Struthio camelus: one gene and its partner. The protein of the gene in region 1 interacts with the protein of each later gene in a biochemical or structural test. Links are inferred from orthologs where the notes say so. Each region holds a gene or a part of one and is shown in the gene's direction. Other genes may lie near its edges.

What was found.
Region 2: the proteins of DNM1 (region 1) and SH3GL1 form a complex in vitro, tested with the Homo sapiens proteins (2 studies listed by BioGRID and IntAct, with this or other methods). The link is inferred for Struthio camelus from reciprocal best matches to the Homo sapiens genes DNM1 and SH3GL1.

What each region holds. Positions count from the first base shown.
Region 1 is NC_090961.1:7,431,960-7,441,157, forward strand, and holds the start of DNM1 (dynamin-1), read left to right. Parts: upstream 1-5,356; 5' UTR 5,357-5,527; coding exon 5,528-5,688; intron 5,689-9,198. UniProt on the Homo sapiens protein: Catalyzes the hydrolysis of GTP and utilizes this energy to mediate vesicle scission and participates in many forms of endocytosis, such as clathrin-mediated endocytosis or synaptic vesicle endocytosis as well as rapid endocytosis (RE).
Region 2 is NC_090967.1:4,458,015-4,466,672, reverse strand, and holds the start of SH3GL1 (endophilin-A2), read left to right. Parts: upstream 1-4,498; 5' UTR 4,499-4,616; coding exon 4,617-4,661; exon of another isoform or gene 4,662-5,490; intron 5,491-8,658. Other genes in the region: CHAF1A (chromatin assembly factor 1 subunit A), read right to left, coding at 1,483-2,303, 2,541-2,591, 2,939-2,945. UniProt on the Homo sapiens protein: Implicated in endocytosis. May recruit other proteins to membranes with high curvature.

The sequences.
Region 1 (9,198 bases):
CTAATCACACCATTCAGTTTGAAGGTCATGCACAGGGGTGTAAGTCAACAGCACAGGAAACGGGGCTAGGATTCTTCTTATTTGCTTTAGTGTGGCAGCTAAACAGCGCGTCTGAGCTCTGTGCTCACTGAGCATTGGTACACAGAGCTTTACCTCCCAGGTCCTGACAAGAAAGTTCTTTTTCTGCAAGGAACACCTCCTTTTCACTTACTAAGCGACTTGCTGCTAAATGATCTACATGCATGCAGTAAATACATGTCGCTATGTGAGAATACATAGAATCTCATAAATGTATAGTGCTACAGTAAAGAATACAGTGTTCTTATTCAGTCCCCTTTGAGTCGCAGAAACCTAGGTATCCACTAAGCTTAGGGATAGTTACACAGCAAAAATTGTGTCTCATTGACAATGGGAATAAATTAAACAGAATGATGAGAACTAAAAAGGTAAATACAGGAAAATGACCAAGAAAGTACTCTTCAGAAAAGAGACTAACATTAGCTGAATTGTTGGATCCCTGTAAGGCAACCTACAGTTTACTTCTGTATGACTTAGATCAAGGTCGTCTGACCTCTTGGCAGACGAGGGGACAGACCATATGATTGCTTTTTATTCAGGGGCTGGATTGCGTGATATAGTCAGTCAAGTTTTTACTGGGCTATATGGATTTGTTCCATGGACCAGGTCAGGTCTGCAGATAACCAGACATCTCCAGTTTACAGAACAAGACTGACTGTGCAATTGTATGTTTTAATTTTGCCTCTGCGGAAGACTTGCTATCAAACCCTTGGTGGAGATGCACACAACTGAATTTTCAGAAGCAGTCTCTGGTTTCTGCAGTCTCACTTTCTTAGTGCCTACAAGAGCACCAAGAAACTGAAGTGCCCACAATTTCTGTTGAAATCTGCAAGGATGGTCTTACCCATTTTATTAGGATATGACAGAAGTTCCCACCTTAATGTCCTTGAACCTCCCAAACTCCTTGGAGAAAAAGATCTACGGAACTTTAAAGTACTTAAAAGCAGTACCTCTCTGCTTTTGGGGTCTATCCACTGAAAGAATAGGTAACATTTGGTTTCAAGTTTCACCAGCCCTGCCCTCAACTGCTGATGTGAATTACTGGAGTTCTGCCGTTTTCCACGTCTGTTTTATCTGTGGGAATACCATACTCACACACATGTGAAAGCAGCAGCACACAGTATTTTAAAGCAAGATAATCTATGCATTAAGACACTTGCACCCAGTCTTCGCTTTATTGCTTTAGAAACCTGTTCCCAATCTTTCTTGATTGACAGGGCAGGCCCACAGTATATAAACTAACATACATCTTTTACACCATTTTGCCACATGGCCAAACAGCTTCTATCAATGATTTTCAGTCTCACAGGGCAAAATATATTCCTATTTTGTATCTTCTCTTTGGATGTGGAAAGCCCAGTGAACTCAGCTTTGCTGCTTTTAAAATATTTTATCTAAACACACATCTATGTCCAGATCCCTCTCCTGATGGACTATATTCTGACTTCTGTAGAGTTACACCAAAAATAAACCTGACCCCAGTGTCTTATACACTAGATTAACTTTCTTTTACCTCTTCTTGAGGGATTCTCGGACCAGTTCAGCAAATTTCCTGTCTCACAACAGAAGAGAAAATGAGAAAGTATTTCACTGTTTTATTCTAGGCAGAAAAGTTACATATTTGAAAAACACAACATAAAGGCTGCTTCTTTTTCAGATAGTTTTTCCAACTAATAACACTTGAGGGAGACCTTTCTTAGCACCTGACGCTATAAAAGGGCAATGATGCTATGGCACAAAATACATACTTAAAAAATCTATATGACCGTGTAAAGCTGCCTATAAACAACTTAGGAGGTTAATTTATTTGTTTTTTAACTATTCATCAGCTATATAATATATTCAATATGGATACAAACAGTGACAAACCTACCTCTGATCGTTTTTGGAGTTTACATTCTTACCTTTATTTATAAACATTTCTTACAAAACCAAAGGACCAAGAGCATCCACTTTATGATCCACTGCGAAATGTGCTGAACATCCATAGCTCTGGCTCAAGTCAAAAGGAACTGTGAGGCATTTGCACCTCTGAGAAATAGTTTGCAGATGACTCGGAGAATTGTAAGGTAATTATATTCCACCTTTTTTACTCTTTCTTCTCCCAGGATTGGCTATATTGTTTTTTACGTTGATAGCAATACATGGAAAGAGACATATTTATGCTCAGGTGCATTTTTAGGGGATTCATATAAAAGTATGGCCAGAAATATTTACAAGACCTTGAGGAAAAAGTCTTTCTCTTAGGTAGATACAAATAGATTTTTTTCCTGTCTGGTCCGGTTTGTAAAGTCTTTTTTATTTCCAAATCCCTCCCATTTTTCAGTATTTCCCCATGAAGGATGATCACATAATTGTTTTTCTCCTACGGCTGCTACAAGCTGCTGAGTAAGTCATAGGAAGGAGGTATTACAGAATCAAAAGGCCTGTCTGTTGCTAATATCCTTGCAAATCAGTTTCTTGCAGGAGAGAAAATGGAAGGCCTTAGGATGGGGATTCCCAGGGCCTGCAGTTCTCATTTTCATCAGTGGGAGGTGTAGGTTTCTAAAGCTTCTTAAAATCAAACCTCACTTTCTTTGAGGCTTCAGGCTGGGTCTCTCTGCTCTCTGGGGGATATGATTACAACTGCTGCAGGAGCGCCTAGACAGACTCCACGATATTAATGAGTTCTTGTAGGGGTAATGCTGCAGGCATACATGTACCCTCACTTACTTATGAGTGCATCTGCAAAACAGGGGATGCAGGAAGGTACTTTGTGCGTTTTATAGTGTTACGCTCACAACGATCTGCAGATAAAAATATATACAAAGTTTGCCAACGTTTCTGCAGATTTTTAACCCTCTTTTTCCCCTTTTCCACCTTTCTTCCCTACTTGGAGAAGACCTTATTAACTCCCTACAGTGTCTCCACTGTGCATTTGCTCCTTGAGACCTCAGCAGATTAGACCAAACCCCTAAATAATGGTCCATATGTTTCCTGAGATCTAAAGAGCAACTTTATGGAAAAAATAAAATTGGAGAGAGAATACCTCAAAGAATACCTGCAAAAAAGTCCTGCTGCAGCCTTTCTGCTGCACCAGATCCTTAACTGACGACATGAATCCTGTTTTTTTCCAGTCTTGAATGTCAGCTGTTGACATACTGTGCTTTCAGTGTTACTTCACAAACCTTTCCTGGTAGAAGAAAAATGTATTAATTTAATTTTAGCTCTTCCAGAGAACGGTGTGATCCTGAATGATAATTTCTGGATTGAAACGGGCTCACTTAGAGCAAAATACCTGCTTAGAATGCTAAACAGCCAGATGAGAGCGAAATCCAATATTTGTAGTTTGATGGTTAGCAAAAATGTTGATTGCCACAATCAAATATAGTTGCTTTTATGGAAATATTAAAGGCAGGTATGGATTCATGGTGGGGGGGGAAGGGAAGGGCAGGGAAGGGAAATCAAGGCCCTTTAGGCACTAGCTAGGCCGCAAATGCTACTGTTATCCGACATCATCACAGTGATGGAGCTGGGCAAACCTCCCCTGCATTGAAATTGGAGCTGTGCAGGGTAACTGCAGGTTACACAACCTCTGGCAAAGGGTAACCTTCCCCTCATGGTTCTTGGGGCAACATCAGCTCTGAGCCAGGGAGGAATATGACACCATTCTTTAAGCCTGTGATACTCTTTGTTGTTATTTTTTGCTGAGACCTCTAACAAGGGGGAGGTATCAACTTCTGAAAGAAAAGCGATGTTTTTTCTGCAGGTTCCTTCTACGTAAGTGACCAGAATGGCTGAGCAGATGCTCAGAGACATTTGTCCACAGTCTACACTGGTTTCTGAAGCTTGTTTCTCCTTGGATCTGCTGGGCAATTTGCTGAAAGGAAAAAATTAGCATTGACAGCCCCCAAAACAACCCACACGCGTCCTACAATAACGTTACCTACACAGACGGAGCAGCTCTCACTCCCTCCCTCAGCTTTCTTACCTGAACGCTGGTGACATTTTCAAAGCGTTTTCCTTGGGCATCTTCACTGACGCAAGGGAGGTAAATTCACCCCTCACAACAGTTGTTCCACTTTTCTCTGCATACTCAGGCATTTCTGCATAGATTACGTTTGACGGATCTGTGAAATTTTGCTTAGAACCATTATAACTAAAGAGTGGCTGTTTACAATGAAAAATAAAGCTCAAAATCTGTTGCAGTTCTGCTCTTCCTCCCCCCCACCCACCCCCAGCTGTATCTAAGCTGCGAAGAAGAGTCCTGGATAGCATGGACGAAGAAGTGTTGGAAATGCAGCATACTCCATTCTCCTGAGTCACCACTAGCCATCAGTTTCTTTTCTGAACATCCTTGTTTTCACTGGTACACTTTCAAGTCAAATATGGCCTCAACACTATATTTTTGTAAAAAAAAAAATCCCTGTAAAAAGCCTAAAACCGGTTACCTTTTTACTGTAGGCAAATTAATTTTTTAAAAGAAGATGGAAGCATATAAAATGGAAGTACTTTGCATTTCTGTAAATCAAACATAGCAACAGCAGCAGCATCTACTGTTTTGCAGCCATGAACAGAAACCCGGGAGTTTTTCACCCATGCCTTAGTGAATTAAGTCAAGGGGCAGAAATGCAGGAGCGTTTTTGCACGCCCCCAGTTTAATCCCGTGTCAAGCATCACTCATGCTCTGGCCGTTCCACAAGCGCCCCCCTAGCACAAAGCCCTCAGGTACAGGTTTACTGACCCAGCCACACAGGTGCATCAACCCAAGCGTACAGGTTTATCGACCCAGCCACACAGGTGCATCAACCCAAGCGTACAGGCACACTGACCCAGCCACACAGGTGCGTCAACCCAACCGTACAGGCACACTGACCAAGCGGCGCAGCGCGTCAGCGGAGCCGCACAGCTCTACAGACCGCACCACACAGGGGCAGCGACTGCACCGTACCCCTGTGGTGACTGAACCAAACCGCACACGCACCCCGACTCAACCCTACAGGTACACGGGCCCCGCCGTGCGCAGGCCGAGGGCCGCACGGCCCCCAGGCCTGGGGCAGCGGAGGGGGGGGGGTCGCTGCAGTTTCGGGGAGCGCGGTCTCCTGCCGGCGGCCACCCCCACCGCCGCCCGCCGCGGGGCTCGGGGCAGCCCAAGATGGCGCGGAACCCGCGGCGGGGCGCCCCCGCTCCTGCCCGCACTACAACTCCCAGCGTGCTCCGGGGCTGGGGCGCCCTTCAGCCCCCCCTGGCGGCGGCGCGGGCGAGCGGCGCGGAGCGGAGCCCGGGCGGGCAGCGGGGCAGCGCAGAGCCGGGCGAGGTGCGAGCGAGCGGGCAGCTGCCACCCGCCAGGGCCACCCGTCGGTGAGGACGTGGGGGGCCGCGGCGCGGCACCACTGCCCCCTCGGCGGCGCCAGCAGAGCGGCGGCGGCGCGAGCTGCGCTGGGCGAGGTGCCGGTGCGGCGCCGCAGCCATGGGGAACCGCGGGATGGAGGACCTCATCCCCCTGGTCAACCGGCTCCAGGATGCCTTCGCCGCCATCGGCCAGAACGCCAACCTGGACCTGCCGCAGATCGCCGTGGTGGGGGGGCAGAGCGCCGGCAAGAGCTCCGTGCTGGAGAATTTCGTGGGGAGGTGAGGTGCTCGCCGAGAGCCCCGTCCGCCTCCCGGGCAGGGCGGCCGGCGGCGCGCCGCAGCGCGGCTGGGCGCGGGGGCAGCGCGGGGCGCGGGCGCGGGCGCAGCCGCTGGATGCGTGTGCGCGGGCAGCGCGGTGCGGGGGCAGCGCTGGTCGCTGCAGGGGCAGGGCGGAACTGGGCAGGGGCCGAGCTGCCGGCTGCCCGGGACAGGGCAGAAGCAGAGCTGCGGGATGCACGGGGCAGTGTATGGGCAGAGCTACCGGCTGCCCGGGGCAGTGCAGGGGGCAGAGGCAGAGCTGCCGGCTGCATGGGCCGAGCTGCCGGCTGCATGGGCAGAAGCAGAGCTGCCGGCTGCACGGGGCAGTGCAGGGGCCGAGCTGCCGGCTGCAGGGGCAGAAGCAGAGCTGCTGGATGCATGGGGCAGTGCAGGGGCCGAGCTGCCGGCTGCAGGGGCAGAAGCAGAGCTGCCGGCTGCACGGGGCAGTGCAGGGGCCGAGCTGCCGGCTGCAGGGGCAGAAGCAGAGCTGCCGGCTGCACGGGGCAGTGCAGGGGCCGAGCTGCCGGCTGCAGGGGCAGAAGCAGAGCTGCTGGATGCACGGGGCAGTGCAGGGGCCGAGCTGCCGGCTGCAGGGGCAGAAGCAGAGCTGCCGGCTGCACGGGGCAGTGCAGGGGCCGAGCTGCCGGCTGCATGGGCAGAAGCAGAGCTGCCGGTTGCACGGGGCAGTGCAGGGGCCGAGCTGCCGGCTGCAGGGGCAGAAGCAGAGCTGCCGGCTGCACGGGGCAGTGCAGGGGCCGAGCTGCCGGCTGCAGGGGCAGAAGCAGAGCTGCCGGTTGCACGGGGCAGTGCAGGGGCCGAGCTGCCGGCTGCAGGGGCAGAAGCAGAGCTGCTGGATGCACGGGGCAGTGCAGGGGCCGAGCTGCCGGCTGCAGGGGCAGAAGCAGAGCTGCCGGCTGCACGGGGCAGTGCAGGGGCCGAGCTGCCGGCTGCATGGGCAGAAGCAGAGCTGCCGGTTGCACGGGGCAGTGCAGGGGCCGAGCTGCCGGCTGCAGGGGCAGAAGCAGAGCTGCCGGCTGCACGGGGCAGTGCAGGGGCCGAGCTGCCGGCTGCAGGGGCAGAAGCAGAGCTGCCGGTTGCACGGGGCAGTGCAGGGGCCGAGCTGCCGGCTGCAGGGGCAGAAGCAGAGCTGCCGGCTGCACGGGGCAGTGCAGGGGCCGAGCTGCCGGCTGCAGGGGCAGAAGCAGAGCTGCCGGTTGCACGGGGCAGTGCAGGGGCCGAGCTGCCGGCTGCAGGGGCAGAAGCAGAGCTGCTGGATGCACGGGGCAGTGCAGGGGCCGAGCTGCCGGCTGCAGGGGCAGAAGCAGAGCTGCCGGCTGCACGGGGCAGTGCAGGGGCCGAGCTGCCGGCTGCAGGGGCAGAAGCAGAGCTGCCGGCTGCACGGGGCAGTGCAGGGGCCGAGCTGCCGGCTGCAGGGGCAGGGGCCGGGCCCCGCGGGCAGGGAGCGGGTCTCCCCGCCGGAGGGGGGGGTGAGCGCCGGTGCCCGGCGGCAGCCCCTGCCCGGCGCAAGCTGTTATATAAGGGAGGGGAGCAGAAAAGTCGGGGAAATCGCTCCCGAGCGGCGTCTTTGAGCTGCCCCGGCGCGTCCCTCGGTGCTGCCCGGCCCCGGAGGTGGAGGTGGCCGCCGAGAGCCGGGGGCGGTGGTGGAAGGTGTTAAGTTTAATCCCCTCCGCCCCCTCCCCCGGCCCGGCTCCGCTGTCCTCCGTCGCGGGTGCCATGTCAGGAGGCGCAGGAAGGACGGGGTTATCTCTCTGCCCCGATCCCCCGGTGCTACCATTTTGTGTCGGGCACGGTTCTGCCGCCCTCCCTTCCCGTGACCTTCACGTTCATCTTCTGCAGCCTGGGGAGATCGCAGCCCGCCGGCCTGGCTACCGGCTGCGAGCGCAGGCACACGACGCCTGGGGAAGGGGCTTGTTCCCCGGCTTCTTTTCGGCCTCGTTAAATAATTGCAATCCCTGATACATGGGTTAATTATCAAGGACCCCCCCCCCCCCCTACGAGCGAGGTGCAGGGCGCTGGTGACTTGTCTTAAAAGCAGCTACTGCTGCGATACCTGGTCAGTGTTTGTGTGGCTTTTTTTCTTTTTCTGCAAGCTGTATTTGTGGCAACCTCTGTTGCACATCGTTTCTCCTCCCATTCCCTCCACCCTCCTCCCCAAACCCCCACTTTTTCTTTCCGTGGGAACAGTTTGCTAACAAATGGCTGGTACAGCTCTCCCGCCATCGGAAGGGGCTGCGGTGCTGTATGAATTGCTTGTTTATCTGAGAGCGTCCCCAAATTTTGGACCTGTGCAAGAGTAGGCTTGGGCCGCGAGTGCAGTCTGTGCTAAATGTATTAGGAAAACGGTGCAGTGGTTGTATCTGGTGGAAAAGCAGAGTTGGAATGATTTTTTTGTTGTTTTTGTTTTAGCATATAAATACACATCCAGAGAGGGGTTGGGGGTCCGCACGAGTTGCCTTCCTACAGTCCATGCAGCATCCTCCAGGGATCCTGGGAACTGTGCCAGGGGAAGGACCTTCCAGAAACAGTTATGTTACTGAAGCCCGGGTCATAGGCCAGGACCCGCTTGTTTGTCTTGATGAGTCCTACCTTTCCCCTAAGGGGAAAGATTTACTCTGCTATAGCTTACTAAGAAGAAAGGGAAAATAGGTCCTCAGGAAAACGTGAGCAAAGCTCTGGTTCACCTGTTGGCTCTGCTGTTTTCATGCTGTCAAACCTCCTGAATCCTTTTGAGAGGATCTAGGCAGGCAGTGCTGCAGTGGCGTAATATATAACGTATGGCTGTTGGGCCGGAGGATGGTTCTTCTAAGGACAGCCAGTGAAACAGAGTATGCTGTCCCTTCCTTGTGGATTGAGCAAACAGAAGGGGATATATATTCGTCCTTGGTGAACCTCCACAAAAACCAATTGAGAACTGGGGGGTTTGTCTGCCTGACAGAGAGCAAATGAATGAAATTCTGTTTTCTATCTCTTCCTAATGATTCCTATCCCAGGAGAGCTTGTGACCTCACCGTGTCCCATCAGCTGGCTCCGTAGCCACATGTTATGGTGCTGTGGCTTTTACAAAATGAAATTATGAAGGGTCCCTTGAGCAGAAGCTGAGAGGCCTGAGTGAAACAGGCTGTAGAAAAGCATTTAGAGAAATAATTGAAGCGAAAATGGAAAATATGTCACAGGAAAGAGGTCTTTCTCCATTTGATACCCTTGAGTGCTGACTAGTTTAGAGACTGGTAATGTGAGACTTCTTACCACAAGAATGTATGTGCATATGCTGCAAAAACAATGCTGTTAAAATAATGATGGGGTCCTGCTGTGATGTATCGCCCTTTTTCTTTTTGTGTAGAAGCTTCCTGTGGTAGGAAGCTATGGAAATAGTATCTAGAACAAACATGACTCCTCATGGCATGGGTTATTTTCCTGTCTGAACAGGCATAAGAGATTGCATGTAGACCT
Region 2 (8,658 bases), on another chromosome or scaffold:
AAGCCCCAGCTAGCTTATTGCTATCTCCTTCAGGCCAATGAGATTTTTCCCTCACAAGCGGTACAGCCTCTCATTACATCCCAGTGGGATAGCTGATGAAAAGCTTTCTCAAAAGGCTCAAAACAGCAGAAAGCAATTCTCGCCAGAAGACATAACTGGCGAGCGCAAACCCAGGAGCAGTTCCACCCCTGCTCAGCACGTATACTTTCCTATTCTACTAATTTGCTCCATCTCTTCACCCTCATTTACTCAAGCCACATATGTCGTTTTCAGACTCTCACAGGGCAATATCCACTTTCCTGATTTTCCCCTCTAATAATGTAGTTAGGGCAAAACAAATACACAGGCCAAATAGTCCGGACTAAGTCTAGGCCAGGCTTGCCTAGAGTGTCCAAGCCCATTCACCAGGACTGCTCTACCCCACGCCTTTAAGGATGAGGTTATTGTGCCTGCTGCAAGAGAAACTCCCACTTTACATCTCAACGGATATATTCTGGAAAAGCCTATTCACTTCTCAACCGTTCAAGTCATGTGATCCTTTCAGCCATCTGCGCAGATAATGCCCTCTTTAATTTAAGAGTTCCCCTTGCAGTACAGGGCCAAAAGTCACAACGCTTTCATCACTTTCTCCATAGAGCCGAGACACTAAATTGAAACTAATTCAGATTCCAAACCACCAGCTCATGCAGAGCTATGGCTTTAGAGGTGTTCATCCTTGTGCTCCAACCTTCGCTGGCCAAAAGCATCACATGACCCCAGGAGCGCTGAACACACCCTGACTTTTCCCCTAAAGCAACTGCCCATGTCAAATGGTGCACACCTATCAAGATGGCTGACAGCACAAGTTTTGTACCCTTAATTCTGAGAAGCAGATAAAGACTCATTTGACTTGTCCTCTGTCCTCAACTGCCAACTTACAGGTCCTCAAGGCACTGCAGCTTCGCTTAAAGCATTGTTTTCTACCCCCCGGTTTCAGAAACACGGAACTTGAGAAGTATCCGCACCGACTTGTGCTAGAAGTGACTAGGCTACGCTTCCAATTAGCGTTCTGTCATAGTAACTGGAACGGCCTCGTGAAGTACAGAATGGAGGTTGTAAAACATCACTTACAGACAAAACTGCTTTTGAACACTGTCCACGCGCTAACTACCAAAATGATAAGTCACGAGGCATGCACTTCATCATCAATTTATAAGCATGAATCTATAATAGAACTTAAAGTTACATTGACACTACGCGAACTTACCAGCAGCTCAAAAGAGCAAGATTTAAATATTTTAGGTAAACAGTTTAAAGGATTCAAAAGGGTAATAGTTCAGTTACTATATGAATAAGTTGGCAACGCTCTCCAGACTCTTCCCATGAGCTTTGTGAATATCCTAGTCATCCTTTCCACTGTGAGCTCAGAAAGCCTTATTACCTACTATACTCCCTACTCTAATGAAATAATATTTAGAAAACAACCCAAGAAGAGAGACCAACCTTCCTAATAGGCGTGGAGACAGCTAAAGGACTACAGTTTCTCTTTGTTTCTGCAGCAGGCTGTGCCTCAGGTGAGCTCACAGAGTGAGAACTTAAGGAGGAATTAGTAAGTAGAGAGTCTCCTTCGCGGGATGATTCCAGAGTCTCATTTTCTGATGTGATGCTTCCATCCAGAGAAGCAACTTGAGGAGACTTGGCAGTCATAATATCCTCCAGGAGCACTACAGGCATCTTCCCCTCAAATATGACATCCTTCAGTTCACTCTGATTTATCTTTGTTTTCTCCAAGTTGTTACACTCTGGTAACCCAGAACAAGACTGGCTTCCACCTACCAAAACTTCATCTTTATTTGCCGCAGCTTCACACGGTGCAGTCTCCATTGAATCATCCATTGGGCTATTCTGACTAGAATTCATGCAACTCGACTGGTTTATATCTTTTTCTAGCATGCCATTAGTTATACCTACAGATGAAGATGCTTCTGAATCTAAATTAGCATGGTCCACATCATCACTCAGTCTATGGCTAGAGTCCTTTGTCAGGTCAATAATGATTACAGTGTCATTTGTGTTATGTTTTGTGTTTTTCTGTATAAAGTGATCTAACGGACCCTTTCCGTTAACAAGTTTTGGAGTAAAATTCACATCTGCATCCAACTGGCAGTCATTCTCCACATTGTCCAGGGACGCACATGACGTATCGAGAGAGGAATCCTTGTTTTGTCCAAAACTGCTTTGTGAGCTCTTTACTTTTTTGACTTCTGAATCCGCATCATATTTTTCCTTTGGTACAGGATTCAAGCGCTTGAAAGGCAGCCGGGCTGAAACAATAACATTTCGCTATTTTAGTCACATCATATAAACCCATGGGGGGAGGGGGGGGAAGGGACACAAACACTGCAATATTCACCTAGTTCTTAAACACAAGAAGAGAAACTGATGAGCTAGAAGGGAAGAGTTTATTATCGCAAACACAATCTATTGTACAAGTTCAGGCCTGACACGTTTTAAAGCACTAAGACCGCACTGGGTGCTAGACACCTGCTCCAGAGCCTTACCTTGCACAAGCTTCCGTGGGGGAACAACCGCTTTGCCTCGACACTCCATGGCTGCAAGGAAAAAAAAACACCAGTGACAGGTTTCTGCTTAGTCACCTGCTCCCCAGGGGCAGCCGGGCCACAGCGGCCCCGACGCCCCTCCCCAACACGCAGGGCAGTCGGGACCTCTCGGCCACACAAAGCCCAGCCGCGACCCGGCGCCCTGAGAGGGCCTGGCCACCCCCCGAGTAGCAGCGGCGGCAGCGAGCGGGGGACAGCGGCCACCGGGCCGCAGCGGCGGCGGGACCAGGCCCGGCGCCTCCCTTTGTTACCGCAGGAGGCCTCAGCGCACCCGCCGGGAACCGCAGCGGGCCGGCGGAGCCGAGGGCGCCGCCCGGGGGCCCCGCAGCCCCCCCTACCTGCCATGGGCGGGGGCGGCGGCGCCCGCCGCTCCCTCCGCCGGCGGCAGCGGCAACAGCCCGGCCCGGTCCCCTCTCGCCCCGCCCGAGCGGGACCCGCTCGTATTTGGCGGGAGCCGGGGCGACCCCGCGCCTCACCGCGCCGATAGGCGGAGCGCGCCCCACGTGACGCGCCCTTCCGCCCGCTCCGCCCCCGCGCCCGCCGCCCAAGTCTCGCGAGAACGCCGCCTCGCCCGGCGGAGGGAGGCCCGGCGCTTGCCCGCCTTCGCTGCCTTCCGATTGGCCAGCGGGATAGCCGCAGCTGATTGGCGCAGGCTGCTGTCAGTCTGGCCCGCTACGCAGAGCTGATTGGCTGGCTGAGGGAGGCTCCAGCTGGCTCTTCACGCCTGGCCTCGAGGCCTCGTTGCTCAGCGAGCGGGAGCCGAGACAGCGGCGATGCGGTCCCGGGGGAAAGCTCCGGAGAGGTCGGAGCGGCCATTCCGCAGCGCCGGGCAGCGGGAAAGACCCGGCCGCCGCGCCGCGCCGTCAAGGGGGCGCGAGCCAAACCGCGAAATGGCGGCGGCGGCAGCCAATGAGCGAGCGCCTTCCCGGCGCGAGCCCCCTCCGCGCGGGGGTGTGGGAGGAGGGCGCGAAGACGCTGCCGCAAGGGCCTCTGGGAGTTGTAGTTCGGCGGCGGCTGCGAGGCGGAGAGCCTCCTGGGAGTTGTAGTCGCCCCTTTGCCTCTCCCAGCGCTATGGCAGCCCTTGGGGGGGGGGGCGGGCGGGAAGGGGGGCACAGCTTGTCCCCACACTGTCCCCACACGGGCCCTCGCTCCCAGGCCTCGGCCCGCCGCCCCCTGACCCCCCGTGCTGCCCTGCCCCAGGCGGCGTGGGACGCAGCGCCCCGCCACGGGCCTGCTGGGGACGCGGCCCCCGCCCAGCCTGCCCGCCGCGCCTCCCCGGGAGCAGCTCCCTCCTGGTCGGGAGGGCTGCGGGCCCCATGGCGCTCGCGGGCTGGCGTTGTCCCCCCTCCTTAGGGACGGAGCGAGCGCCCTGCGGTGCCTCGCTCTGGCAGTTGTAGGAGTTGACCCTTCACGCTTCCGTCGCTGAAGGTATTTTTTTCACTTTAGGTTTATAAACGCGCCCCGTGGTCCGTAGCAGGGCACTCAGGGCGGGAGCGGAACCGGTTACGGGTCCGGAGAGAGCTGTTTTGCACCAGCGGCTGAGAAAGCGCTGCCTCCCGCGCAGGCGGCTTGTGCCCGTCTCCTGCGGAGAGTTACGCTGGACCGCGGAGCTGCCACGACGCTCCCGCCGCCAGGTAAGAGCGGAGCCGCTGAGGCGGCGGTCAGAGCGCGGAAGCGTCGCCGCGGCGAAGGCGTCGCTGCGCCGGGCCGGAAACCGTAGCCGACGGGGCGGCACTATCGCGACACAACCTCCTTCCCCTCCTCCCGGGGGCGCCTCCCTCGCGGCCTGCGCCGCCCGCGCCGGCAGGGGGCGCCGCGGCTGCCCGCCGAGCAGCAGGGCGGCGCTCTAGCCGCGCGCCTCTCGGTGGCGGCGGCGGTGGCGGCGCCCCGCCAGGCCGGCAGGGGGCGCAGTGGTGGCGGGTCGGGTCCCGCGGCGGCGGCGGCGGCGGCGGCGGAAGCTGCGCGCCAGGCGTCCGCCGCCCGCTGTGTCCGTGCGCGGCCGGCCGAGGCGGCAGCATGTCGGTGGCGGGGCTGAAGAAGCAGTTCTACAAGGCGAGCCAGGTGAGCGCCCTGCCGCTGCCCCCGCGCCGCCTTCAGCCCTCCCGGCGCGCTGCCCCCCCCCCCCGCTGCCGTGCTTCGGTGCTGCCCCGTTTCCCGCCGTCACCCCCCCCCGGTGCCCTCCTTGCCGGTTTCGTGTCCTCCAGCTTGGTGCCAGCCGTTATTCCCCGGTGCCCCCCCCCCCGGTATCGCCGTCCGGTGGCGGTACCGCTCCCTCTGACAACGCGCCGTTACTCCCATCCCGGACCGGTGCCCGTTCCCCCCCCCCCACACCCTCCCCGCTACCGGGGTCCGGTGCCGGTTCTGTCACTGCCAGCTCGGTGCCACCGGCGGGGCCCCTCCCGCGTCCCGAGGAGGCCGAGGGCCGCCGGCGCAGCGAGATGGCGGAGCCTCCCGGCTTGGGCCGCTCGTCGCCCTCCGAGGTTGCCCGAGCCCTGGGCCGAGCTGGCAGGAGACGCGGTTGTTCCTGTCGCACCGGCGGGTCCCGGGCTCGGGATGACGCCGGGTCGGCCGCCACCGCCGCTTTCTAGCGACGCTTGAAGTCCTCTCTCCGGGTCGACGGCGCGGACGCGCTGCGCCTCGTCGCCAGAAAGGGACGGCGGCCCCGGGACGGAGGGAGCTCGTTCCGCGCCCCAAACCTCGCCGCCAGCGAGCCGCAGCCGTCCCGTGGGCATCAGGGCGCGAGGGCGGCGACGGACCAGCGCGGCAAGGAGCCTGCAGGCGGTGAGATGCTCTTGGACTAAACGTCGAGTCGGTGTATGGATTCCAGGAGCAAAAAAATAAAGACGGAAAGGCTGAAATTCTGCAGCGGAGCAGAATTCAGGCCCGGAAGGTGAGGTCTTGGCTAGGGATCACCGGCCCTCGTTAAGCCCAGCCTGGCAGAGAGCAGCGGCAGATTGCAGCTGCAGCCTAACCTCAGGAAGTTCCCGCTTCCTTGATAGTAGCTGACATTGGGACTGGGAAAGGATTTTGCGGTTTGCAGGGTGAGGGTGTCCAGCTTCTCAGCCTGTGTATGCGCTGCACAGGAAATGGAGGCCTGGCGATTCTGGAAAAACTGTCAGAGGTGCAATTTTTTAGTAATTTATTAGCCAAACGAAGCCATTTAAAATCTTCCTTAATTGATAGTTCAAAGTGACGCTCCTGAACTAAAAAGCGTGTTTACGTCTTCGTAAAAAGTACATCTTAGGTATGGCTCCTCACAGCTTGGCGGTGGGCTGAAGTTCTCCAGCTGAACGCGGGGGGATTGGCCTCTAATGCAGTTCACAAGCACTTTGTGCCCCTGTTTTAAATTTAAGACAGATGAGTTTTGCACTGATCTACCAATTGGCTCTGTGTGTTTTCCAGGCGTAATGTTTCAACACTTCCAAGCTTGGTCCAAATATGTTTGCTACGTGTGTTGCCTCCTTTCTTGGCTGTAATTCATGTAAAAGCATTTTGCTTAAGCAGCAAAGCAAAATAATAAATTCCTTAAGTCGTTCCCCCATCCCTTTTCTTGCGACAGAAAAGCAATCCCCTGCATCTAGTTTTTTACAACTTCCAAGGGAAAGATTGCACTGAAAATTCATTGTTGGAGGATTTTACTTGTGCAGATCTGCTGTGTTGTCGTAGCAGGGCAATTAGAGGTGAAAGCTCATCTGTGAGTCAAAAGTAACGTGATTCTGAAGTCCGAGTGCGTCATCCTAAAACATCTGCTGAAACTTTTCACCAGGAGAATTATTTTAAACTGAGGTAAATCACAGGTGGCCTTTGCAGGTGTTTTTCTGTTCCATATGTAACTTTTTGAAAGGAACCGTTCTAGTTGCTCGTGGAAAAATTAAACCCCATGCAGCTCTTTGGTGAGATGTAGCCCAAATATTCTGACTTAGTGGCCTGTTTGTATATTGTGTGTGTACGCACATGCTTTATTTGAACACTATGTTCAAGGGCATTACTAAAAAGTGGGAGATAAGGTGTAGGTGCAATTGCACCTTGAGTTCTTTTGCAGCTCGTGCTGCTGCAGGGTTTTGGAAACTGATTTAATCTGAAGAAATTGCGTTTAACGCGAGGCTTGCTGCCAATATTCACGGTACCATTGCAGAAGTGAATTGCATGCTTTGCGGGGAAGTAGAGAAGGGCAGTCTGCTATCAGAGGACAGACACTGCTGGCTCCTTTGGAGCATCCTGGGGGCTGGGACGCAGAAGTATCTGAGCTTTAGAGATTCTTTTTCTGCGATCTGGGAGCGATTGGTCCCAGTTCTACCATTTTCCTGCATTCTCCTCCTCCTCTTTCCCTTTTCACTCTTCTTCCCCCTCCTTCCACCAGTCCCACTCTTGGGCTCCTTGGCTGAAGGAGAAGGAGGATTAGTTATTTTTTGGCTCTCTTAAAGGTATTAGGTGCTGCCAAACCCGAACATGTGGAAGATTTTTCCTAAAATGTTGCAGTTAATTCCATGTCTGTTGTTGATTGAAGGAAAACGTAGCCAGGACCAAGGCCTGTGAGGACCCTCTCAGAACCTCTCTGTTGCTGCAGCTCTGGGTGTGGGATTTTCCCCCTTGCCTCCCAGCGAGAAGAGGCTGCCAGTTCGGCCTCCTCCAGACCCGGACAAAGCAGGGTGGTGCTGCAGGCGGTGAAGAGGGCTTGGTCCTGAGCTCCTGCCTTTAGGAAGGCCTGACTTATCTGATTCTTGTGGGTCTACATGTTCCCTGGGTGAGGCTGCCAGGCGCCCACACGCAGGAGAGAGCCGAGATAGTATCCTGCAAAAAAAAATCCTGCTTGCAAATGCCGCAGAGGGTGAACAGTTCTGTGTGTGCGTCCAGAACAGGTTTTGCTAGTTCACAGTGAAATGTCCTTTTTTAAGGAGGGGGAAAAATCCCATCGAAAACATTCTCCCAAGAGGTAGGGGGAGAAACAACAGCATCTTTGAGTTCCAGCGCTGTGAGCCAGGAGCAAGGTGGGAAGTTGCGCTGCAGCCTCCGTCAGCGCCAGGGATGTGAGACCGGGCCGGTCCCAGGCTCCGTCCAGCCTTGATCCAACGGTGGTCGCTCAGATACCCAGGAAGGTGCAAAATCCTGCGGTAGGGAAATGGCTTCACTTGCGCCATTTACTTTTCTCAGAGCCTTGATTTAAGTCCTGAAACACAAAGTTTAGCATGCCAGACTTTCCATTAACCACGATAACTGGATATGCTTGGTAGATAGAAAAGCTGGACAGACAGGGCAAAGAAACATTCCTCTGCCGTTCCTTGGTGAGTCTGATGCCTAGCTGAGTGGGTTTGTGGGTTTAGTACCACGTAGCCGTAGAATAGCAGCACTACCTGGCATCAGCAGGTTATCTAGCCCTGGTCTGAAGGTACAAGCCCTAGGGTGGAGGCAGCTCTGTCGGGGTGTGATACTGGTCAAGGAGTCACCTCCCTCTGCGAGAGCTGTACTGCCTCTCGCCAGCTGGCGGTTGTACCTTATGTGACAATGCCAAGGTTGGAGAAGTGACACAGCCCTTCTCATTGGGGACGGGTCTAATCCAGGGAGTGGTACAGCGCCAGCGGTGCCCACATCAGCACGTTATCACCGCGGCTCCCGGCTCGGCTGATGCTGACTCATGTGAACGAGGGGCACTTCAGAGGCTGTATACTGTGAACACAGGCTGCTCCACGTAGCTGGCTCAGAGAAGCCTTCTCTCCCTACTGGTAGGACAGAAGGGCTGCTCTGCTCCGAGCAGAATGAGCTTGCCAAACGCTGTAATTTCAGGTATAACAGGGCCCTTCTGGCAACACGTTAGACCCGTTTTTGTGTGCCCGTCGGTTAGTGGATGTGCCAGTTTGGAGAGCAGGTTCAGCCTAAGCAAGGGTTGCGCTCTCTGCCTGGAAAGGTGGCAACGCTCTTCTCAAAAGAAGCTAGCGTTCAGCCCTGGGCGCCAGTGTTGTGCAGAACAGGATTAGCATCCTGCAAGGTCTGCGTGCTCCAAGCCTTGCTAAACCTGCCCAAACTTAAACTGGTGTGGCAAACAATGCGTTGTATTCTGCTG